3 linked regions of the Oryctolagus cuniculus genome follow. The protein of the gene in region 2 interacts with the protein of the main gene of each other region in a biochemical or structural test. Links are inferred from orthologs where the notes say so. Each region holds a gene or a part of one and is shown on either strand. Other genes may lie near its edges. The genes, in order: TYRO3, GAS6 and AXL.

Region 1 (4,146 bases), on a different chromosome or scaffold from region 2:
TAGGGCGCCCTGAGTCTTTCCCTGTGCTGCCGCCGGGGGGCGCCCCCAGCTGGGGCTGAAGCCGCCGCCAGCAAGGCTGTTATCATTAGCGTAATTAATAAACAAGCACTGCTGGGGCCAAGCGGAGGAGGAGGCGGGCCCCTGCTGCCCAGAAGAGTCCCTGGAAAGATCCAGGGCGGTTGTGGGGAGGTTGAATGGCAGCCCCCCCGCCCCAGGGCCTCTGGGAAGGGTTGTCTGCGTTGGTCTCCCTGCGGAGGCGGGGTGGTACAGGCAGTGGCAAGGACACGGGGAGGGGAACACTTGGTGGGCTTGGTTGGGAACCAGCTCTGCATCTGCTTGACAGGATGTCTGTGGGCAAGGCCACCCCCGCGACTGCTGGTTTTCAGGCAGGCTGTGAGGCAGTTATTCATTCACTTAACTGACATCTGCCTATTTATATAAGGATTGCCTACTGTGTGCAGGGTGGCATAGAAATAATGGCTAATGCATAACTGGGCAGGGTGGGGACATGGCCATCTTTCACACCAGATTGGGGGGGGGCAGGGAAGCACTAGGCAGAAGGGACAGCTCCAAAGGCGGGCTGTTTGGCCGTGTAGCCTAGCGCGGGGACCAGTGAGTCTCAAGGTAGCACCTGAGACTGCAAGACCCCAGACCCAAGTTGGAAAATACGCCGCTAAGGTGGGGAGGCGAAAGTGGTCATTTTCGGGTAGGAGGATACTTGGGAATCAGAGGCGGGACATGGAGCAGGAACGTGAAGACGTGAGGTGAAAGAGAGAGGAGAGAGGCGCGAAAGGCACGCAAGGGGGAGCCGGTTCTGCGGGGGCAGCCTGCGTCCCAGCGACGTTGGGGCCCGGGGCTAGGAGCGTCCCGTCCAGAGGGGGAGTGCTGGATTCTGCCACCAAGAGTCTACACAGAAGTTGGGCTGCGTAGGGGCTCCGGCGGAGTTTCTGAGGCTCCGGAGTATTTGGGGAGGGGGGCGTGGCCGGGGGCCCTCCAGGGGCCGGAGTCCGATCCCGGCGGCCGGGGCGGGGGGTCAGCGACCGAGCGCGGCCCCAGGGCTCCGCGGGGGGGCGGTACGAGTTCGGGCTGCGGGCAGGCCGGGAGGAGGCGGCGGCTCCGCGAAGAACATGAATCAGCGGCGGCGGCGGCTGAGGAAGGAGCGCGGTGGCCCAGGAACGGCCCCGGGGACCCCCCGCGGCTGACGGTGGCGGCCGCGGCGCGGGTCTCGGAGGCACGGGTCCCGGCGCCGCCCCCCGGGCGGGCTCCAGCCCCTCCCCCGGCCCTCCCTCTCCTCCTCCCCCTCTGTCCTCCCTTCTTCTTCCTCGCTCGCGGGCCGGGCCCGGCATGGTGCGCCGTCGCCGCCGATGGCGCTGAGGCGGAGCATGGGGCGGCCGGGGCTCCCGCCGCTGCCGCCGCCGCCGCCGCCGCCGCCGCCACCGCCGCCGGTACTGCTGCTGCTGCTGGCGGGGCTGGTCTCTTTGCTGCTCCCGGAGTCCGCGGCCGTAGGTAGGGGCTGGCCCGGGAGGCGGCGGGAAGTGGGGGCTGCGGAGGGGCGCGGCCGGCGCTCGGAGCCCAGGGGCGGCAGCCGAGCGAGACCCGGGCCTGGGCGGGCCGGAGGTTTGGGTTGGGGGGTCGGAGGCTGGAAGGCCGAGGTGGGGGCGGCGGAGGGCGCGCTGCGGAGTGTTGGCCGCGGGGTCTGCGGTCGGGCCCCCCACCCCCAACTTTCTCGCGACTGGAGGCAGGGTGAAGGGAGGCGAGTGGGGTGTGGGCTGTGCGGTCAGCGGGGGGCGGTGGGGACTGGATTTTCCCGCCGTGATGTTCTTGGCTGTTTGCTCTCGTCTGCCCACCTCGCACGCAGTGGTCCCACTCGGAAAGCAGAGGCTGGGGCCGAGAACCCAAGGGGCACCCCATACCATTTAGAAACAGGGGCTGCGAGGATGCCCTGTCACAAAAACATCTGGGCACACTCAAGTTCCTGGGTCCGCAAAGCTTCCTGGAACCGGGTATGTTGGAGGGCAGGGGCTGAGGCTAGGCTGCTGGTCTCTGCCGGGGTAGCTTGATGTCCCATGGAGCCGCTGGGGCAAGAGTGCTCCATGCAGCTCCTGGCTCTCCCAAGCGCACACTGCACACCTCCGGGACTGCTAGAGGACGAGGGGGTGTGAGGCTGCCCTGCCTGTCCTGCGTCTGAGCCCGACACCAAGAAGGAGGTGGAGAAGAGGCAGAGGCCAGGGCAGCAGGCACTGGGCTGGCACCTCCTGAGACAGCAGTCTCTCAAGGAAGGGAAGGGAAAGACGGTGACAAGGCTTTAGCAGCTAAGAGGTGTGCATCTGATGCTCAGAGAGCCCAGGCATTTACCTAGAGTCACACAGCCAAGGACAGGAGGAAGCAAGACTGGATTTCAGCCATGTGGAGACTTCCCTGCACCTCTGCCAGGGAGCCAGGAGGTGTGTGCGTGTGGTGTGTGCGTGTGCATGCATGTGTGCACAGAGGAGAGGGGCAGCGTTCCAGAGGGTGGCCCTTGTTGATGTGACAATGGCTCTGCAGTCTTGGGCTAGCTGCTCAGGGCCCCACCCCTCTCTTCTGCCTCCCACCCTCCTAGCCTCCGCCCCTGCACACATTCAGGTATTAATAGAGCCGGTGGCTGCCAGGAAGGCTGCCATGTGTTTGATCTGACGTGGTTTTGTAGCCATATGTTCCCTACTTTGGGAGAGCACCCCCTTCCCTTCCGCAGCCTCCTTTCTTTGGCAGAAAGGGTGGAGGGGGTGCTGGTGCCGTCGCAGGGGCTACGCTGACTCCTTGGGTGGAGAGCGGGCAGCCTGTTGCACCGGCTGGGTGCAGTAGCCAATTCTAGGGCAGTGCGTGCCCCAGGGGCTGAGGACTTTCCCCTGTTTCAGCCCTCTCCCCCCTTTTTTTTGGGCTTTCCCCTTGGTGGTTGGGCCTGGATTTGCATTGCCCAGCAGGGAGGCTTGGAGAAAAGGGCCTCAGAGGTGGTGTTGGAGGGACTTGGTAGAACAGAAGTGAGGCCTGAGCTGTCTGTCCTGTGTCTCCCCGCCCAGCCCAGGTCCTGGCCACCTTCCCTCCCACGCTGGCCTGCCCCTGCTGCCTCCTTGGCTCTGGTGGAGAATCAGCCCGAAGCTGTGTTCTGGGAGGGAATAGGAGAGATTTCCAAGGACAGGGTCTCTCTCTCTGACACCGACTCGCTCTCGGTCTGACCCAGTTGGTGACACTGTCTCCCCCTGCCTCCCCCAGACCTGAAGCTCTGGGGAGCCCCGGTGAAGATGACCGTGTCTCAGGGGCTGCCTGTGAGGCTCAACTGCACCGTGGAGGGGCTGGACAGCCCTGACATCCACTGGATGAAGGACGGGGCTGTCATCGAGACCCTGGACGAGGTGTTCATCCAGCTGGACGATCGGCACTGGGTCAGCTTCCTCAGGTGCAGGACCAGGGGGCACGGTGCGGGGGCCGGCCGGGGCCAGGCTGTGCCGAGGGCCGGGGCTCTGCAGGGTTTTTGTGTTGGACAGCCTGTGGAACCCTTCTGAAGTGGGGGCAGGCTGAGTGCTCCATGTCCTGTTGCCCCTGGACCGTGGGAGGCGAGCCTAGTGTCCTGTTTCCGCAGCCTGAAGTCAGTGGAGCGCTCGGATGCGGGCCACTACTGGTGCCAAGCGTATGATGGGGGAGAAACGGAGATGTCCCAGCAGGTGTGGCTCACGGTCGAAGGTGAGGAGGCAGGCCACATGGATGCGCTGGCCTGGAGCAGGTGCTGCCTGATGCCGGCCGGCCGTATCAGTGGAGGAGAACTCCATGCAAGCCAGCTTACCCCACTGCCCTGTGGGGACCAGCTTACACCAGGCTCTGGGCCCACCCCAGACTTCCGATCTGAGAACCAAGGAGATAACCAGGACCCGCAGCCCAGGGAGAAAGGGGCTGGGGGATGCAGCCTGTTTCAGTTGTCAGAGCAACATGCCTCTAGCACCCATCTGGGGCTGGACTCTGTTCCGCCAAGTGGCCCGGCCAGCAGGGCGAGGGGTGGGGGAGGGGAGGAAAGCTCCGCAGCTGTGGGAGCTCAGAGCTGTTCAGCCCAGGAAAACAAAGTGACTAAGAAAGTAACAAAGGGCCGGGACCCAGAGCCTGCAGAACCCTGCTAAA
Region 2 (4,179 bases):
GCACCCGACACCCTGCCCAGCTTGGGACGCAGCCTGTTTCTAACCCACTTTCTACTTCTGCTGCGGAGCCAGTTGCCCTGGAAATGAGGGTGAAAATGTCGAAGCCGCGTGAGGTCAGAGATCTGTCATTGCCTCCCACATTTGCTTTATGCATCGCTCAGCTCTGCCGATCAGAACGCGCGAGAGATGTGAATGGGTTTTGTTAAACCAAGGCCCTGCAGGAAGGGGGCATTGGGACCCACTGGGACTCGGATCCCAGCTAAGGGGAGGCCGGGGGCCTGGAAGGCTCTGTCGGGGTGGGACCATGCTGGTCCCGGACCCCCTAAGGCAGACGTCCCATGGAAGCAGAGGACAGAGACGCCCACCCCGTGTGGACTGGATAATTCTGGGGGTTACACAGCACTGTAATCTCTTCTACAAAGCCACGCAAACGTGACGAAACAGCCGCAAACAATCACCGTGCTGTGTCCCCTCCTCGACCCCTGCCTCTGGGCTGCCGGCTTTGGGAGCCTAGAAAAGAATGCACACAAGGGCCGGGATACTTCGTGGCACACAGGGGCCGGGATGCTGTGTGGCACACGGCGGCGCGCCGGGAGGGGCTGCCGAGTGAGCGCAGGAGAGGGGTCTGCCGCACACCCAGGTCTCTCCTAGCAGGCAGGAAGGCTCCTAAAGTCCTTGGGGGGCACTTCACGCCTGCCCACTTGCCAATGGGCAACTGCCCGGCAGTGTCCTGGGGCACCGGGTCGGGCACAGGGGCTCGGTTTTCAGTTCTCTCCGAAGCTCAGTCCCCTGGGCAGATTCACGCTTGGGCACGGCACCCGCAAACCACCAGGTTCGAAGGCTGCCAGCACTGCCTTCCCATTCTCCCGACTGCAGAAGGTGGGAGGAGCTAGCTGCAGCCATGTCACCGCCATCTCCATGTCACCGTCACCATCACCACTTTGGGCTGTGCAGGTCCCGGGGGGCAGGACTCTCTGGAGTGGCGTCCAGGGTCCCCAGGCTCACTGCCTGCTTGGCCTGGCTGTGGTTCTGTTCGCCGGTGACTTTGTAGAATATTCTGACGGGACGCCGAGTGCTGCTTCCCCCTGGATCCCCGGCGGAGACCGGGTTCTGAGAACACAGGTCACGAAAGGAAATCGCGCAGTCTCACTCCTCGGACCCTTGCGGGGCTCGAACTCGGTTTCTCTTTTTCTCCAGTGAGTTTCGCGTCCTGAGAAAATGCGCCCACGAAGGGAGGCTCCAAGGATGCCGGCGACGTGCCGGGCGCGGAGCACGCAGCCGCGTTCGCGCCCCGGGAGGTCACTGCGTCCCGGACACGCGGCCACTGCGAGCGCGCGCGGGCCCAGCCGGCCTGCGTGGAGATCGCCACGTCCTGGGTGACCTGCTTTCGCCTTGAGTCTCGGAGCTTCCCGGCGAAAACCGGCTGGAGCGCTCCGCCCGCGCCTCCCAGCCCGAGCCCTGCAGTCGCACGGCCGCCGGCCCCGCCCCCGGCCGCGCCGCCCCCGCCCAGAGCAGCCGGCGCGCCCGGGCCGCCGCCGCGGTCGGGATGTGACCTTCAGGGCCGCTGGACAGGATGACGGGAGCCGCTGCCCCGCGGCGCCCTCGGACCCCTGCGACCTCCTGGGAGCTCTGACCGCGCGCGCTCACGGCCGCCCGCCCGGCCCCCGCCATGCAGCCCGCGCCCGGGCCGGCCGCCGCCCTGGGCACGGCGCTGCTGCTGCTGCTGCTGGCCTCGGAGTCGGCGCCCAGTGAGTGCCGCGCGCGCCCCGCGACCCCGCGCGCTCCGGGCCGGGCGCGGCCTGACCGCGCGCCCCTCTCTCCCGCAGCCGTGCTGCTGCGGGCGCGCGAGGCCGCGCAGTTCCTGCGGCCCAGGCAGCGCCGTGCCTACCAGGTCTTCGAGGAGGCCAAGCAGGGCCACCTGGAGAGGGAGTGCGTGGAGGAGCTGTGCAGCAAGGAGGAGGCCCGCGAGGTGTTCGAGAACGACCCGGAGACGGTGAGTGCGGGCGCGCGGGAGTCCCGGGGCGGGTGCGCGGCCCGAGGGCGCCCGGAGCTGTGGGGCACCGCCCCGCAGCTCGTGGGCCGCTCCCCGGGACCCACGTCCTCCTCTGGCCGGGCGGGTCGGGGGTCCGCACCCTGCTGCGCCTCCCCAGCAAGGAACCAGGTGTCCGTTTGCAAACCGTGACCGAGCGGCCAGGATTCTACCCCAAGCGCCTCCTGGCTCCCTGCCTCCTCTGCGGGTTGGGGGGTGAGGGGCACAGGCGCCGATGCGGGGCGTCCCCAAAGAAAGAGGAACCCAAAGATCCCACAGAAATTGCCTGCAGCTGCAGCCCAGAAAACGCAACTGCGGAATCCTGTGGGGGACAACAGACGGGGCCTATGTGTGTGTGTGTGTGTGACAGTCACAGCCCCGTGTGATGAAGGGGATGGTGTGTGTGTGTGTGTGACAGTCACAGCCCCGTGGGATGAAGGGGATGGTGTGTGTGTGTGTGTGACAGTCACAGCCCCGTGTGATGAAGGGGATGGTGTGTGTGTGTGTGTGTGTGTGTGTGTGACAGTCACAGCCCCGTGTGATGAAGGGGATGGTGTGTGTGTGTGTGTGTGTGTGACAGTCACAGCCCCGTGTGCATGGAGTGGACAGTGTGTGTGTGTGTGTGTGTGACAGTCACAGCCCCGTGTGATGAAGGGGATGGTGTGTGTGTGTGACAGTCACAGCCCCATGTGCATGAAGGGGATGGTGTGTGTGTGTGTGTGTGTGACAGTCACAGCCCCGTGTGATGAAGGGGATGGTGTGTGTGTGTGTGTGTGACAGTCACAGCCCCATGTGCACGGAGTGGACAGTGTGTGTGTGTGTGTGTGTGTGTGTGTGACAGTCACAGCCCCATGTGCATGGAGTGGACAGTGTGTGTGTGTGTGTGAGGGAGACACACACAGTCACAGCAGCGTCTGTGCAGGAGGGAAGGTGTGTGGCAGTCACAGCCCTGTGTGATGAAGGGGATGGTGTGTGTGTGTGTGTGTGACAGTCACAGCCCCGTGTGCATGGAGTGGACAGTGTGTGTGTGAGAGAGAGAGACACACACAGTCACAGCAGCGTCTGCGCAGGAGGGAGGGGTGTGTGACAGTCACAGCCCCATGTGCATGGAGTGGACAGTGTGTGTGTGTGTGTGTGTGACAGTCACAGCCCCGTGTGCATGGAGTGGACAGTGTGTGTGTGTGAGAGGGAGACACACACAGTCACAGCAGCGTCTGCGCAGGAGGGAGGGGTGTGTGGCAGTCACAGTGGCTGCAAGGCGTGGTCACCTGGTCCTCTCACAGCAGAGTTTGGGGCTCAGCTGGGCTTCTCTGTGGAGCTCCCGTGGGATGAGGCGGTGTCACGTGGGAGCAGGAGTGGCCACGTGGTGACTCACCATGGTGCCTGGTCTGCTGGCCGGCCCCCCAGGTCCCTTTCCTGACACGCATGCTCACCCCTGGCTGTGCCGAGGCCCCTGTGGCTGGAGGTTTCCCTGGATTTCCTGTCTATTTCATGGTGATCGGCCGAGGCAGGCGGTCTCTGGAGGTCCTCGCTGCATTGTCCTAGCTGCAGTGCCGGGTCACTGGGGTCCCTCACCTGGGGGATTGCGATGCCTAGTATGGGATGGGCTGTGGGGGCAGAGCTGAGGCCAGGCCACCCCAGCCACGGAGCCCTGCCTGCTGCAGCTCCGGACCCCTGAGTCTGGCTCCTGTGCCTGATTGCATGGCTTGTATGTCTTAGTTGCAACTCTATTTGCAAAGCTGTGCATGGAAGACAGGAAGCGAGGGGCACTCCCAGCCCGGCCCCTGGCACTGGTTTCTGTGCCAGGGGCCTTTCCCTGTCTGTCCTGGGAGCCCAGTGTGGCCCAATCAGAGCAGTCACTGTTTCCCAGGATTCAGTCCCCTCCCCAGCTCCCAGGACCCCCCTCACCGGTGCGTGCCCCAGGCCAAGGCGTTGCCCCATGCGTGCCTGTCCTGAGCACGCTGCATCCCCGGGTGTCGCCTTCCCTCCTCTTTTCCAGGGAGAGGCTGCTCCCGGAGGAGTCCAGCTCTGGGCCTGCAGACTGGGTGTCCACCCGTCAGGGGTCCTTGGCTCCCCTGCATCCCTTGTCCCGTGAGAGGCAGCCGTCCAGACACCGTTGGCAGCCAGCACAGCCGAGGCTGAGGCCTCAC
Region 3 (2,888 bases), on a different chromosome or scaffold from region 2:
AGTCCAGACACCCCGCCCCTCGCCCACGTCCGACTTCCTCTCTCCTCCCAGCCTTGCACAACGATTTGTTCTAAAAAAGTTTGTGGCCCGGATTGAACCGTCCCGGCTTCTCGGGAGCCGCCACCGGGGGGCGTCCGGGCGCTGCCAGGGGCTCCTCGGTCCGCTCCCGGACACACCCTGGACTGCGCGCCCAGGGCAGCGAGCGGACTCCCCTGGTGGACCCGGGACTACCGGAGGGGTTCTGTGCCCGCGTTTCTCTTCCTGGACTGTGGGTACCTGTTCTGCTCCGTGTCTCAGGATTTCTATCACTTTGGATCTGTTGCTCAAGTTTCTTCCTCTTCCCGCTGGGTGTCTGCCTGATTGTGTGTGTTTGGCCTCGATGTACAGTGTTCATTTAGACCTCTCTAGGGAGGAGACTTTCGTAGACCCCACCACACCCTTCCTGGTACTGACAGAGAAACTGAATGGCTGGGGAGAGGGGCCGCATCGCAGCTGAATGCAGATGAGAGGAGACACAAAGAAGATTACGAAGTTTTATGTGCTCTCAGCTCCTCCGGAGGCACCAGAGACCACACTTGTACACCGGCGATAAGGGACTGGCTCATGGGGGCAGCATGACCCAAAAGTAGGGAGCCGCCCATCCCCCGGGGTGGTGGGGAAGGAGGCATCCCTAATGCATTGCACAGGCTTGGGGGGAGGAGGAAGCGAAGGCAGTGCCTAAGAAGGGGAGGGGCACATAGAGGAACCCTATCAGGTTAGAACCCTGGAATCGTACCTAATACTCTAGGCTGTGGACCCTGAGAACTGAGAACACGCAGTCTTTTAACTGCAGTACCTAGAACCTTCAGATTTACAAATGTGGATTCTTGGGTCCTTCACATGATCCTAGGAAGGCAGAGTGCACATAGAACCTGGAGGTGTCCAATGTTAGGAACGATTAGAACTTTGGAGTCTAGTTAGTCATGGCTACCGGTGAGAGTCCTGCATGCAGAATCTTGGACCAACAGACCCTAGAGTGCCCTGAAACACAGGCTAGACCGGCATCAGGATCTCAGGGATTAACATCCAGACTCCTGGAGCATATGATCTAGAATCTTAGATTCCGAGACTAAGTCTTAGGATGTCACATCTTAGGACATGAGACCACAGAACGTCCATCTTTAGACTCTTAGAACTTCTGAGTTGCAGATTCTAGAATCCTGGATCATCTATGACCTCAGAGTCCATTAGGATATCAAACCTTGAGGAGACAATGTTTTGAAGCCTTCGTGTCCAGACTCTTATGGTTAAAGGATTTAGATCTGAGAGCCTTAGAATGTCAGCTTTTAGAAATATAGGCCTTAGGACCTCCATGTCTAGAATTACAGAATCTACATTCTTACATACATACCATTAGAAAAGCAAAATCTAGAGCTTTAGAACCTAAAATCTTGGGGTCTTATCAAGAATCTTAGAACCAGAAAATCTAGAACCACACAATCTCACAGCCTTAGAACTTCCTTGCTGAGAACTTGAGCACTTTTGAGTTAGAGACGTTGGAATTTCAGGTCCTTAGAACCAAGAACTCGTAGTATCTCTGAAACCCAGAACCTCGGCATCGAGACTCCTTAACCCTTAGAGTCCCGAGTCTCGGAATGCAAAGGCCTGGGAGTACCTTGAGAGACTGCAGTCGAACCCCTTCCTCCTACAGGTGGGGGTGCTGTGGTACAGGGAAGGCAAGGGTCTGTCCGGATGGAGGGGGGTGGCAGGAAGACAGGGCTGCAGTGGGGAGAAACCTAGGGTGGGAGAGTGGGGAGGGGGCTTCCCCCAGTGGCAGTGCCTAGCTTGGATCCTGAGAGGAAGTTCTGGGTAGAGGGTCATCTCAGACTCCATCCTCCTGTGCCGGGGGTGCTTGGGAGCTCCTGTCGGCAGGCAGAGCAGGGCCAGGAGCCGTGGAAGGGCAGAGGACGTAGCGTCCGGCAGGATGGACCTCCGCGGCCGTAAGGCAGCTGCAGGAGTCCTTCGGGTCGGGCTGGGTGTGCGGCTCTGCTCCTCCGGCAGCTCCACGGGGCTCGGAATGACCTCCGCCCTCGTCCATGTTGACGTAGAGGATTTCGTCAGGCTCCTGGGCAGGGGGCAGGGCCTTCAGCGTGTTCTCCAGGTCTTCCCGCAGCTCTGAAAAACTTGGCCGGTCTCGGGGGTTCAGCTCCCAGCACCGGGACATCAGGGCATACCTAGGGCAACAAAGTGAGGGGTGAGAGACTGAGCAGGGACTCAGACAGATGGCATTCTGGGAGTCTGGGGACACTGTATGACATGCAGAGAACTGGGGGCGTTTCAAAGGGCTGTGGGGAAACAGCAATGTGGGGGATCTTCCAGAGATTTGGAGATGCTCAGCAGTTTCTGCAGGGCGTCCTGGAGGTGGGATGTGGGAAGGGCCTGGGGACACCTGTCTGGTGTGAGGATCGGGCCTGGGGACACCTGTCTGGTGTGAGGATCGGGCCTGGGGACACCTGTCTGGGTGTGAGGATCGGGCCTGGGGACACCTGTCTGGTGTGAGGATCGGGCCTGGGGACACCTGTCTGGTGTGAGGATCTGCTCCAGCACAGCTTTCCAGGTGAGCCTCCAAGAAGAGACCCCGGCATCAGAGCCTGGCCCTGCCACCTAGAGGCTGCGCTGGTTTAAAACAAGCCCATAAAGCCTCCTTTCAAAGGATGGCAGGAAGTCTCCTCCCGCTGTGTGCAGCCAGAGTGTGTGTGACTTCCGAGACCAGCTCACACAGGCACTGTGGCTTCCTGCCTGCACTTGCCCTGGAGTCACCGTCCCAGTGCTAGGGAGGGGTCCTTGTGGCTAGGATCGGGGCCTCCGGCCTCAGCCCTGTGAGGGAGCCAATTAGAAAGTGACCTTGG

Evidence for each region.
Region 1: the proteins of GAS6 (region 2) and TYRO3 form a complex in vitro, tested with the Homo sapiens proteins (2 studies listed by BioGRID). The link is inferred for Oryctolagus cuniculus from reciprocal best matches to the Homo sapiens genes GAS6 and TYRO3.
Region 3: the proteins of GAS6 (region 2) and AXL form a complex in vitro, tested with the Homo sapiens proteins (2 studies listed by BioGRID and IntAct, with this or other methods). The link is inferred for Oryctolagus cuniculus from reciprocal best matches to the Homo sapiens genes GAS6 and AXL.

The regions. Positions count from the first base shown.
Region 1 is NC_091443.1:64,631,951-64,636,096, forward strand, and holds the start of TYRO3 (tyrosine-protein kinase receptor TYRO3), read left to right. Parts: upstream 1-1,346; 5' UTR 1,347-1,364; coding exon 1,365-1,506; intron 1,507-1,792; exon of another isoform or gene 1,793-2,404; coding exon of another isoform or gene 2,405-2,444; intron 2,445-3,249; coding exon 3,250-3,433; intron 3,434-3,616; coding exon 3,617-3,717; intron 3,718-4,146. Other genes in the region: acidic proline-rich protein PRP25-like, read right to left, coding at 726-1,346. UniProt on the Homo sapiens protein: Receptor tyrosine kinase that transduces signals from the extracellular matrix into the cytoplasm by binding to several ligands including TULP1 or GAS6. Regulates many physiological processes including cell survival, migration and differentiation.
Region 2 is NC_091440.1:352,394-356,572, forward strand, and holds the start of GAS6 (growth arrest-specific protein 6), read left to right. Parts: upstream 1-1,371; 5' UTR 1,372-1,669; coding exon 1,670-1,748; intron 1,749-1,826; coding exon 1,827-1,993; intron 1,994-4,179. UniProt on the Homo sapiens protein: Ligand for tyrosine-protein kinase receptors AXL, TYRO3 and MER whose signaling is implicated in cell growth and survival, cell adhesion and cell migration.
Region 3 is NC_091449.1:13,349,299-13,352,186, forward strand, and holds the end of AXL (tyrosine-protein kinase receptor UFO), read right to left. Parts: intron 2,214-2,888; coding exon 1,862-2,213; 3' UTR 520-1,861; downstream 1-519. UniProt on the Homo sapiens protein: Receptor tyrosine kinase that transduces signals from the extracellular matrix into the cytoplasm by binding growth factor GAS6 and which is thus regulating many physiological processes including cell survival, cell proliferation, migration and differentiation.